3 linked regions of the Arabidopsis thaliana genome follow. The protein of the gene in region 1 interacts with the protein of each later gene in a biochemical or structural test. Each region holds a gene or a part of one and is shown in the gene's direction. Other genes may lie near its edges.

The links.
Region 2: the proteins of FHL (region 1) and AT2G37680 form a complex in vitro, tested with the Arabidopsis thaliana proteins (one study listed by BioGRID).
Region 3: the proteins of FHL (region 1) and LAF1 form a complex in vitro, tested with the Arabidopsis thaliana proteins (one study listed by BioGRID).

What each region holds. Positions count from the first base shown.
Region 1 is NC_003076.8:435,526-439,545, forward strand, and holds FHL (far-red-elongated hypocotyl1-like protein), read left to right. Parts: upstream 1-1,839; 5' UTR 1,840-1,994; coding exon 1,995-2,038; exon of another isoform or gene 2,039-2,679; coding exon 2,680-3,167; intron 3,168-3,253; coding exon 3,254-3,327; 3' UTR 3,328-3,494; downstream 3,495-4,020. Other genes in the region: PCS1 (Eukaryotic aspartyl protease family protein), read left to right, coding at 1-1,158; AT5G02210 (GCK domain-containing protein), read right to left, coding at 3,728-4,020. UniProt on the Arabidopsis thaliana protein: Can activate transcription. Essential for light-regulated PHYA nuclear accumulation and subsequent PHYA phototropic signaling processes. PHYA-specific signal transducer in response to continuous FR lights.
Region 2 is NC_003071.7:15,802,713-15,807,676, reverse strand, and holds AT2G37680 (glucose-induced degradation-like protein), read left to right. Parts: upstream 1-2,003; 5' UTR 2,004-2,074; coding exon 2,075-2,207; intron 2,208-2,306; coding exon 2,307-2,365; intron 2,366-3,215; coding exon 3,216-3,359; intron 3,360-3,451; coding exon 3,452-3,525; intron 3,526-3,610; coding exon 3,611-3,665; intron 3,666-3,737; coding exon 3,738-3,800; intron 3,801-3,896; coding exon 3,897-4,024; intron 4,025-4,098; coding exon 4,099-4,177; 3' UTR 4,178-4,434; downstream 4,435-4,964. Other genes in the region: AT2G37690 (phosphoribosylaminoimidazole carboxylase, putative / AIR carboxylase), read right to left, coding at 101-239, 344-406, 501-612, 708-929, 1,337-1,566.
Region 3 is NC_003075.7:13,050,911-13,054,271, forward strand, and holds LAF1 (myb domain protein 18), read left to right. Parts: upstream 1-1,592; 5' UTR 1,593-1,644; coding exon 1,645-1,771; intron 1,772-1,817; exon of another isoform or gene 1,818-1,858; coding exon 1,859-1,988; intron 1,989-2,068; coding exon 2,069-2,663; 3' UTR 2,664-2,832; downstream 2,833-3,361. Other genes in the region: ACYB-2 (Cytochrome b561/ferric reductase transmembrane protein family), read right to left, coding at 2,977-3,303. UniProt on the Arabidopsis thaliana protein: Transcription factor that promotes photomorphogenesis in the light by participating in the transmission of phytochrome A (phyA) signals to downstream responses. Probably acts by activating expression of light-induced genes.

The sequences.
Region 1 (4,020 bases):
CACAACGTCACTCTCACCGTTACTCTCACCGTCGGTACTCCTCCTCAAAACATCTCCATGGTCATTGACACTGGCAGTGAACTCTCCTGGCTTCGTTGCAACCGTTCCTCAAACCCAAACCCGGTTAACAATTTTGACCCGACCCGTTCCTCCTCTTATTCCCCAATCCCCTGTTCCTCACCCACTTGTCGTACCCGGACCCGAGACTTCCTCATACCCGCTTCTTGCGATTCAGACAAACTCTGCCACGCAACTCTATCCTACGCCGACGCTTCCTCCTCCGAAGGTAACCTCGCCGCCGAGATTTTCCACTTCGGAAACTCCACCAACGACTCCAATCTCATTTTCGGGTGTATGGGTTCCGTATCCGGATCCGACCCGGAAGAAGATACCAAAACAACTGGGTTATTGGGTATGAACCGTGGTTCCCTCTCTTTTATCTCTCAAATGGGTTTCCCCAAATTCTCTTATTGCATCTCCGGCACCGACGACTTCCCGGGGTTTCTTCTCCTCGGCGACTCTAACTTCACGTGGTTAACGCCGTTAAATTACACGCCGTTAATTCGTATCTCTACGCCGTTACCTTACTTCGACCGTGTAGCTTACACCGTCCAGCTCACGGGTATTAAAGTTAACGGTAAGCTTTTACCCATCCCTAAATCGGTTCTCGTACCGGATCATACCGGTGCTGGTCAAACCATGGTTGATTCCGGTACTCAGTTTACTTTCCTGCTTGGACCGGTTTACACCGCACTTCGATCCCATTTCTTAAACCGGACAAACGGAATCTTAACGGTTTACGAAGACCCAGATTTTGTTTTCCAAGGAACCATGGATTTGTGTTATCGGATTTCACCGGTTCGTATACGGTCCGGAATTCTCCACCGTTTACCAACAGTTTCTCTGGTTTTCGAAGGAGCCGAGATAGCGGTTTCGGGTCAGCCGCTATTGTACCGAGTCCCGCATCTCACGGTTGGAAACGATTCGGTTTATTGTTTCACATTTGGAAACTCCGACCTTATGGGAATGGAGGCTTACGTGATTGGACATCATCATCAGCAGAACATGTGGATCGAATTTGATCTACAAAGATCAAGAATCGGTTTAGCTCCGGTAGAATGTGATGTATCGGGTCAGAGACTCGGAATCGGATCGTAAACCATAGATAACCAGTGTGTAATTATAGTTTTTTGCCTACGTAGAAATGGTTTCTCTAGTAGAAAGGTATGCACGTGACTACAATGAGATTTGTGTTACGGACACGAGCGGGTGTGTAATAACTTCGAGTTTGGTAGTAGTTAGTTAGTTGTCTCTGTTTGCTTTTGACATGGTCTTTTCTTTGCGTAATTAATTTTTAGCTGAGAGTTATATCACAAAATCTTTAATCGTCATCAGTTTTGGACTTTTGAATCGCACTATGTTTTTTTTCGTTATTCAAAATAAAGTTACAAAAGTTAATGTTAAAAATCGCGAAAAAACAAACTTGTTTTGACCTATGTCAATCGCAAAAGTGTATATGTAGATTTGATCCTTTAACGGATCCCTCTAGTTACAACGACATGGATTCTTTTTGGGCGATCGTGTGTTTAAAGAGGCCCAAATTAATTTCACTAAAAAAGCCCATAATAACCAAGATTTGGGCATCAAACAGGTTCAAGTTGCTGACGAGTTAATAATTTGAAACGTCAGGGCCCACAATAGTCTCACTCCCACGTGGGAACATAACGCGGTTTACTGTCTTTTTCTTTAGTTCACGCGCCGTTGCACGTGCGGCCTCTGTCATGGGCCAACGGTTTCTCGCCAGGTCATGGCCGTGATTTGCAGTCGCCTCTGGTTGAGAACGCGGATTTGCTTTTCTCCTTTCCTTCTATACCGAACATTTGAACTTTTTTAATGAAAGAATATTCGGACACTAGAGAGTAGAGATCTTAATCACACTTCATCTCCAACAACAAAACTAATATCTGGAGGAAGAAAATTAATCTTCTAAGATCATGGATGATGCAGATAAGAGTTGTAGCCCATCGCTGGATCATAGGTTTTTCTTTTCAACAAAACATAATATCTTCTTTTTACTTATTTTTCCTTCTATGTTTTATACAAAACAACTCTATGTAAAGATTTAAAACTTGATCTCAAAACTTGTATCTTGAATCTGCAAAATCAACCCAAGTTTCTCTGCTCGAATTACTCTCTTTCGTTCTGCTTTGTACGTTTCCCGCAAGTTTTCATCTTCTTTAAATCTTAAACTTCCTGAGCTACATAGTATTGTGTCCTTAGATGTTTGCTGGTTTTCCTCACTATGTTTTAAGGTGAAGTGTGTGTTTGTGTGTAGTGTTTAGGATTTGTATTTCTACGGCAACTTGTTGATGATGACTTAAGAGATACTCAACACTTGGATCTTATCTTTACTATGGACAAATTTTACTTGTGGATTTAGATTGTGGACTAACAAGATTTATGATACTTTCTCTTTATCTCAGTGTGGTATCAATGAAAAATGTTAAGTCTTTTGTTGACTGGTGTGAATACTTTATGGATAGTTACTTGTAATTATGGATATGTCCCTTTATGGTATAAGCTGAGTGTTAGTCTTCTATTTATCCTTTACCTCTTTTTGTCTCATGGAAAATAAGTCAATTCATGACCTTTCACTAGATTAACCATATATGATTTCAGCGATATCAACGATCCGATGATAGTTGCTGTGGAATCTCTAGACACAAGCAAAAAGAGAAAACTGCATGCTGAAGAATCAGACTTGTTACCCTTACCAAAACACTTTTGTTCTGAGCATCAAGCCTCTCTTGTTAATTCTTCATGTCCATCATCAGTTATAGATTATGCAGAATGCTCTTATGCCATGGAGAACACAAAAACCAGCGATGAAGCCTCCTCTTCTGCATCTTTTACAGGCCCTTCTTTGTACATGTTTAAAGACTCTATTTATTCAACCGGAAGTTCTAGTTCTGGTTATGCTGCTACATCAAGCATAGAACAATGCTTTTCCAAAGTTGATCACAAAACACAAGAAGATACCCAAGACTTTACTCACATGGAATTCATTTATCACGACTCCGAATTTGCGGTCGAAGATCTTCAAGAGGTTCTGAATCCAGTTGAGTCTTATATTCTTTCTTCTGCAAGGTGGAGTGTCAGCAACCAAGGTAATCAATGAAAAGCTAAATGCTTTAGTGTCACGCATTGTGTATGGGAATTATTTGTGATTATTCTTTCACCATTTGGATTGCAGATTCCAAAGAAGCTACCACGAAACCAACCATTGATCAAGAGTTTGAGCAGTACTTTTCTACACTCATGATGTAAACAACAAGAATCTATCTACATATTTATCAATATCACTAATCACTGCAATGTTTATATAAATATTTCACCTTGTTTTTGAATAGAAACATATATAAAACCAGATCAGAACAAACCTTTTACATGTTCCCGATGTTGCAGACAAATGATCCATGGATCTCACCTTCAATACTACTATATAGTAGTCTTAGACACAAATGCTGAAACTATTCACAATGATCATTTCCCTTAACTACTTGTCCAATGCTGATCCGGTAAGGTTTATAGTGAAACATTGATGGGCATAAACATAGTAAAAACATTGAAAGCAAATTATCTCTAGAATCATAAAAAACAAAAGGAAAGATTATTGATTCAGAATAAAAAAGCATTAAAAAAACAAAATCCTCCAAAATCATATCTCTTAGCTTTCTTCCAAGAAGAAAGTTGCGAGCTCTTTCTCCAAATGTTCTTCGGTAGTTTTCTTCACTGCGAGAATCGGATGATAGTAATCAGAGTGAGTATCCATACACTTGGAAAACGTCCCAAAGAGTCCCGCACACTTAGTAACCAAATCTTTGTTCTTCTCAGCTTCCTCCTCAGTGAAATTGCAATCATCATTCCAAGCCGTAAATGATTCTTTGCAACCACCTCCTTTCATGAATTCTACAAACTTCTGATCTTCCTCTTCGTTTATTTCGTCTAGGGAAACAGTAG
Region 2 (4,964 bases), on another chromosome or scaffold:
TTTTGTTTTCTCGTTGACTGTGGCATTGTACACGATTAACTGGTTTAACTGTTACTAGAAACTATGAAACCAAATTAAATATGGTTAGTTAAGGGTTTACCCGTTACAGCAGAAGAAAGCTCATCTTGGTTGTTGGCAACTGCATTTCCACGTCCATCATAAGCCAATCGTTTGCTCTTGATCATAAGAGGGTAACCGAAAAGTTCACCTGCTTTTCTTGCTCCTTCAATATCGCTTATCTGATGTGGTGAGGTTTAGGGGTAAAAACAATTAACAAACTCCTCATGATTCATGGAGAACTTAATGAGTGATTCTTTCAACAAAGTATAAACAAGGGCCTAACCTCCATAAATTCTGGAAGTGGGATGCCATGCTGAGAGAAATGAACCTTTTGCATGTATTTATCCTGGAACATCAAACTGCCACATATAAATAAAATTGCTGAAAAACTTTGACTATACATAACTCCATTTGATGAAATATTTGAGAGGTTATGAAACCTGTATTATCCTAATAGTAGAAGCTTTGGGTTGGCAATCCACTCCTTGTTTCTCAAGCTTCTCTAGTGTGTCCACGTCAACATGTTCAATTTCTACAGTTAAGACTCCACATCTAACTACGACAATAAACAAAAATAACCATAAATATTGTAATGAAAATAAGAATTGAGAACCTGAAGCATTCAAGAAACAAACAAAAGAAGAGACCTTTTTGCAAATTCTTCTACTGTAGCACTGTCGTCAAAGCTATCAACCATGTGACCGTAGGACAATGCACTTGCTGAACAATTTTTAGAAGGATCTAAAATCATCACTTTGATAGCCAACTGAGAAGCAGCTTGGCAAAGCATACGACCCAATTGTCCACCCCCAAGAACTCCCACAATTTTCTCAGAAACTCCATGGACATGTTTATTCTCGCGATTCTCACTTGCAAAGAGGAAAGATAAATAACATTAGAAATTCCTTCCCCAGTCTTACTATTTTCAAATCTTTGTGTCTAGTAACAGAGAAACGAGCAGGGAAGCACAGCTAGTTTCTATATTTTATTCGTCATTGCAATTGGTGTGATGCAATCTTAACCACAACAGCTATGCAACTTCTCATGTCCATGAAACTTACAAGAAAAGAGAAATTTTTCTTCATTTTCACAGATTAATATATGCAGGCTTAATTGATATGTGGTTTAAATACAACGACTTTCACCTTTCAGCTTAATTGATCCAATCTCGTTTATCTTTTAACACACCACAATAGCCAAGAAAATAATAAGAATCGAGAAAATACTTAAGAAGAATGGTTGACACCATTATACTCAATACAGGGGACATAGGTACCTGATAGGAGAAGCATCGTGAGAGCTACAGGGCACAGCTGAAGCCGTATTCAATTTCCCAGACGAAGAAGTGGGAAGCTTCTGCAAATTTGCCATAGTCAAACTCTGGAACGACTGCGTTCTGGTCACTGGAAAAGGTCCAACTCTGTAGGTGGAGCGAGAAGTGTGAAGGACTGGAGTTGTATTTCCAACGACAAGAACAGCAGCTGAGCTTTGTTTCAAAAGCAACATCTAGAATGCTATACAAAACGGAATACTTTTAGCACCGTTTTATAAATATGCAATCAAGTAACATGAAAAAGTATGGTAGACCACAATAGAGAATGAACTCAAGCAAAACCCAAGTCAACGTCAATAGCTAAACCAATGAAAACGACGTAAGAAGCTCATGTGAATGGATTCAAGTAACATTCTTAGAGTCAATAGCTAAACTAATAAAGCCGCAGCTTCAACTTGAGAGGAAGGCAAACCTGGGTGAGAGAAGCAGCTAGACAGAGAGAGAAGTCGGAAAGTCAGGTCCAAAGGTTAGATTTTTATAAAGCAAGTTCGATAATAGAGGTGGAAAAAAGCTTCTTCCGGATTTGGAGGCGGCGGCGAGGAGAGAGAAGATCGGTCTGACGGGGAGAGAAGAAAAGGTTTTTGAGAGGTTTTATACAAAACGCAGTCGAAAACCGGAGAAGCCTAATCCGTTTTATGTATAATTTGATTCGGTTAAGAAAACCGAACCGGGTATGATGAGATGTGGTTTTTGATTAGGCTCCACGATTTGATTTGGTCGCACCAAAGATCGGATTTTTATCAGACGGAAAGGAGGAGACGGAAGAAAATGCCGGTGAGAGTTGTTGAGAGCAACACGCCTGCTCAAGTTTCAGGTTTTTGATCGCTTCTTCAAGTTTTGAATTTAGGTTTGTTTGTTTATGTTCCCTCTTTGTGGCTCTCTCGCTCATTTGTTGAGATTTGTTGCCATTTAGGAACTGATCCTGGGAATCGATCACCACTTCCCCCTAGTTCACTTCTCGGCGCTGGCCAGGTACAACGATTAATGAATTAACAAAACATGTTATTTTGCAGAAATTTATTTCTAGGATTCGTATGATACTTGGATTTTTACAAGTTTTTCTCTCAAGTGTCTGACCATAGAGGTCTTGGGAATATTGGTTAGGACTAGAAAGAACTTTATTAGTTATGCTTGTGCATCTGTGGTTATGTATGCACACTCTTTTTATGAACATAACCTTATGTGTAAGCAGAATCTGAGTATACCTATAAAGACATTATCTTAGGGGTTTTTATGTGTAAAGGTGAATTTTCTCTCAAACTTGACAAGTTCTTACTTATGAATACTTGAAATCACAAGAATAGCTAATTTTTTTATTGTTGATTCTGTCGATTGGCTGTGGTAGTTATAGAAGAAACTTTGCTTCACAAGGGTTTGCTAGTATACTTTATGTGAAATTTGTGAGAGAGAGGCTATGGTAAGATGAGAAGGAAAGTTATAAGTTTCCATGATGTTTAGCTACTTAGGTTAGCATAAAAGAACTTAAAGATCTCGTGTCTCGTTGTTCAGGCACAAAGCATCATTCATAGGCAGGCAACAAACATCATGGGTCTAGTTACTTTCTTCCCATTAGATCTGCAACTTGTTCAAGTGTTCTGGTTGCATAACGATTCTCTAGTAATGCTGATTTTTGTTATACCAATTAGAAGTTGGCCTTGTCTGCTTTGATTGGCTTCATATCTTTTTCATGTTGACATGTATGCTTAATTCAAGTGCATTTGTATCTAGTTGGGATTGTATAACATTCATTGGCTCAAAGAGATTGTTTATTCATAATGAACCTAAAGATGAGGAACACACATGTTTTTATGCTGTGCTGCAGGCATTTTCTGGTACGCAAAATGTCTCTAATCAACAGAAGGAGGAAGCTTGGAGAGTCAACGTCCAGATACAGGGTATTGACCTTGAACATGGTTATCTTTGTGGCACCATGGAAGCTCTAAACGTTCCCATGGCAGACACTCCTGTAAGCCCTTACACTCTTACTCATTTTTTCTTCATATTGCTTCCCCTTGAATTTCTAATAGGGGACACGATTCTTGATTCTGTGAGTGTCAGGTCATAACATTCTGGGAAGGGGAAATCGTTGATGGAAAGAATTATACCTTTTACACCGGAAAATGGGAAGCAACGTATGTCCCAATTCCTATATTCTTGTAGATTTGAAACTGATGATTTCTTATCGTGAATAAATTTTTGAAAGTTTGTTTGTCACAGGAGGGAAGATGATATGAGACATTGGTCAAAGTTCCCGTCTTTTTCGCCTCTTCAGGTAACACTCGAGTAACATTGTTTGTATAGTCAGTAACATCTCCTAAGCAACGTTCTGGACTTAATACTGCAGGGACAAGTTGAATCTGATGGTGGCAGGCAATTGGATCTTAACAATTATCCTTATATATTTATGGTATAACTCTCAGTTTTTCCTATCGAATCCAATCATCATTTTCTCTCAAGTATTCCATAATTCCTGCAACTCGGGTTTATTTTTGTGGTGGTGCAGAGATGGAAAGAGCAATACTTTGTAAACGTTGGCACAGATTGTGGACTAACAATAGCTGGATTTTACTACGTATGCTTCTCCTGCAGCGATGGTTCCATCAGCGGTTTCTATTATGATCCAAACAGCAGGTTAGTCCAAGATACAAACTATATAATCTGTTGTTGTTTGAGATAAAACCTGATGATATTTTGTTTCTGGACAGTCCGTTTCAGAAGCTGGAGCTGAAAACAGTTAACGAAGGAAGATCTGGTTTCAGCTTTTCTTCTTACGAGTTGCAATGATGAATGCTACCAAAATCATCAGACAGCGCCATATGATACTCTCGTCTAAACATGCGATGCACGTGATCCAGTACATTATGACGTGTCAATTATTATAAATTATTAGTAAGATATTTTTTTGCTTAGCTAGTAGACCAGACCAAGTAAAGAACTAAAAATACTATTTTGTCATTATGGTACCAAGCTAATAGTTTATCTGGAAAAAGAACAAATTGTCCAAAAAAATAATTACCAAATAGTTGAGAAGTTTTTCTAAAAATTTTTGTAAAAAAAATCCAAATTCTTCTAAAATTAAGTTTTTAATAGAAATTTAAAAAGACAGTTCTACATCATATTATTTTCTTTAAATAATGATATAAAATTTATAAACTATTATCTTTGTAAGATAATGAATATTTATACCTATGTAAGGGAAAAATTGATAAATATTTATACATCCTCATCCAAAAGCCCATAAAATCGTTATGGGACAATAGTAAAAAAGATTGCAAAATCGTATGGAGCGAAAGATAAAAATAAAAAACGGTCCCGTGTAAGAAGATGGGTCACCTCGCCAACACGTAGACTCTTTTCACGCGCCAAATCAAACACCATGTCGACGAGATCAACGGATTCAAATGTTTCGTGTAATACACGCTCCAACGTAGCGCGTCGTACACTTGATGCTTAATTTATGTATTTTAAGTTACGCAGTTTCCAGATTTTCAGACCCTCTGAAAGTGGAAAGAGCATTTTTTAAAAGAGTAATAAGAAAAACAATTATCTTTGAACTCTCTCTATCTCTCTC
Region 3 (3,361 bases), on another chromosome or scaffold:
GATGGGTAAGTTACTTAGGTACGGTAGAGAGCTGTAGCTACCGGATTAGAGATGGGGTTTTCCAATGATGCGAGTTGGGTTTTTTGCATTATAGACTTGTTGGCTTTTATGTAGAACCGGTTCAAAGTGTCAGCACAAAAAACAAAGATTATTGTATCTCATTTTTAAAAGCATTTGTCATTGTTTGACTAACGCCTGTCTTCTCTAACCGTAAAACATGTGTTTCATTCAATGTTGAATGATGTTTTTATTTTGGTGCATAAAACTAAGCCATGTTTAACCTTCTTTGTCAACATATTTCATAAAGTTTTATCAACATACCACAAGGCCTAATGGTCGAAGGAGGAGAAGTTTTGTTGTAGACGAACAATCTAAAGTATCCTAGTTATCATAACATTAGATGTATAAAATTTATTCTCCGAGGGCTAAGGATTAAGTCATCATAACATTAGATGTATAAAATTTATTAGTCGTGTTTCATTGGGGATTAGTTTGACGGCAAATTATATTATGTTATCAAGACGACCAAGACAAGGTAGACACTTTTTTATTGTTTCCCTCTCAATTTTCTTTACTCGTCATTTTCCACAGGCCAAAAGAGCCAACAAGTAAAAAACAAAATCAGAGTATTTTTAAAATTGGGACAGGCCATTTCGATCGGGACAGAAGGAATTCAAATTGTTGAAATTCACAATATTCCTCAAATAACTCTTATTATTGGTCCACTTGTCAGTGTGAATGTAAGAAAAACATCGTGAGAGGAAAAAATATGAAATAATTACTAGCAGCAAATAGGAGCTCAATGTTGACTTCACTACAAAATTTTATAATTAAGAGAAAAAGAGCTCTCAAATCATATAATAATTATTTCAAGTACTTGTATTAGCAAATGCAATTTGTCTGCTTGCTAATGATGCTTTACGAAAAGATTAACAGATTGGATGATTCTCTATAATCATTACTTCATTATTCACAATCATTGGATTGAATCAGACAGATTATTCCACCCGGATGATCGTTTCTAACCAAAAAACTCATTGACGCGATTTAAACATAAATTAAAGAAGTCGTTAATATAAAATTCTTGCCGACATTTTAGAGATTTTTGGATATGAAGATGTTATCTGATTAGTGTGTAAATTCTTAAGGCATCGTCCATTATAAATGAAGTAAATATAAGGAAAACAAACAATAAGAAAACAAAGTGAAAGAACAAAAACAAGCAAAGATTCTTCTTTTTTTTTTTTTTTATAGGTAGGAATCTCAAATCTTATATATACTGAAAATTGCTAATTTATTTTAAGTTGGAACATTATATCAATAATTTAAATTTATCCAAGCAGACTTTTGACACCTAATTAATCCTTACATATTCCATTATGACTTTTCTCCTCACTGCTTATACAAATGCATACAGTATACTCATAAGAAATTAACACATAAATTATATCCCAAATTTTCATAAAAATAGAAATATATATGTCATTTGTCATTTACTCTAAGCAGGCCCATTTGGTCATTTCTTAACACCAAGTATGTAGGCTCTATCTGTGGACGTTTGGTGATATATATGTTGTCTCAATCACCATATATAGTATTGAGACATGTTTTCTTGTATCAGGACAGACAGCTGACTAAAGAGAAATGGCGAAGACGAAATATGGAGAGAGACATAGGAAAGGGTTATGGTCACCTGAAGAAGACGAGAAGCTAAGGAGCTTCATCCTCTCTTATGGCCATTCTTGCTGGACCACTGTTCCCATCAAAGCTGGTCTCTCTTTCATCTTCTTCTTTATTAGTTTTTAGTTTCTCAAACTGAGTCAACTTTGATAATTGTTGTTGGGATTTAATTTGATAGGGTTACAAAGGAATGGGAAGAGCTGCAGATTAAGATGGATTAATTACCTAAGACCAGGGTTAAAGAGGGATATGATTAGTGCAGAAGAAGAAGAGACTATCTTGACGTTTCATTCTTCCTTGGGTAACAAGTAAGTGTATCTCTAAGACCTAACCCTATTGTTTTAGCAGATGCTAGTTATAGAGAGACTAATGATTTAGGTGTAATTAGGTGGTCGCAAATAGCTAAATTCTTACCGGGAAGAACAGACAATGAGATAAAGAACTATTGGCACTCTCATTTGAAAAAGAAATGGCTCAAGTCTCAGAGCTTACAAGATGCAAAATCTATTTCCCCTCCTTCGTCTTCATCATCATCACTTGTTGCTTGTGGAAAAAGAAATCCGGAAACCTTGATCTCGAATCACGTGTTCTCCTTCCAGAGACTTCTAGAGAACAAATCTTCATCTCCCTCACAAGAAAGCAACGGAAATAACAGCCATCAATGTTCTTCTGCTCCTGAGATTCCAAGGCTTTTCTTCTCTGAATGGCTTTCTTCTTCATATCCCCACACCGATTATTCCTCTGAGTTTACCGACTCTAAGCACAGTCAAGCTCCAAATGTCGAAGAGACTCTCTCAGCTTATGAAGAAATGGGTGATGTTGATCAGTTCCATTACAACGAAATGATGATCAACAACAGCAACTGGACTCTTAACGACATTGTGTTTGGTTCCAAATGTAAGAAGCAGGAGCATCATATTTATAGAGAGGCTTCAGATTGTAATTCTTCTGCTGAATTCTTTTCTCCATCAACAACGACGTAAATTGCGTTTATTGTAATGTAAATCAAATTTCTAAGGCAAAACCGGAAAAAAAATGTTTTGTTTTTTGTTTTGTCTTAAATGCTTTGACACCAATAAGGCAAATAGCATATATGGTTAAAGGAATGGCAATATGAAAGAAAAGAAAAGAAAAGAAAATGATTTAAAAGATTCATCAATATCATTGAAGATTTTACACACCAGAAGTAGCAAAGCCGTAACACACAAAGCTTTTCGCTACAAATGCATCATACATAAATGGAGTTTTGAGAGTACAAGGGGCGATACAGATGTAACGTGGAATGTAGAAAGTGTTTTATATAGCAGAATAACTGAAGTCAACACTATCATCATTGGAGACGGAAGGAGAAGGAGAAGGAGACTCAGCAGAAGCAGTGAGTACCACAAAGGCACCAAAGAGAATAGTGATAATGGCCGTGAAGTTGATAAGAAATGCTTCGGATCCATACTTGTCAAGCCCTCCATTCTCCAAGAAAGTCAGCTTTTCCAGAAACCCTAAAGCTGCATTCCCGACAGCAAGTATGTAAACAAACAGGCCAAGCATTGCGTGCCACGGAAGCAATCCGCTTTTCAAATTTGTTGATCCTCCTGGGAAGAAGAACACTATGAAGCTGTACACCCACTGTAAAGTTCAAAACTCTTGTTCTGGTCAGGAACAATATACAACAATAGGTAAAAAC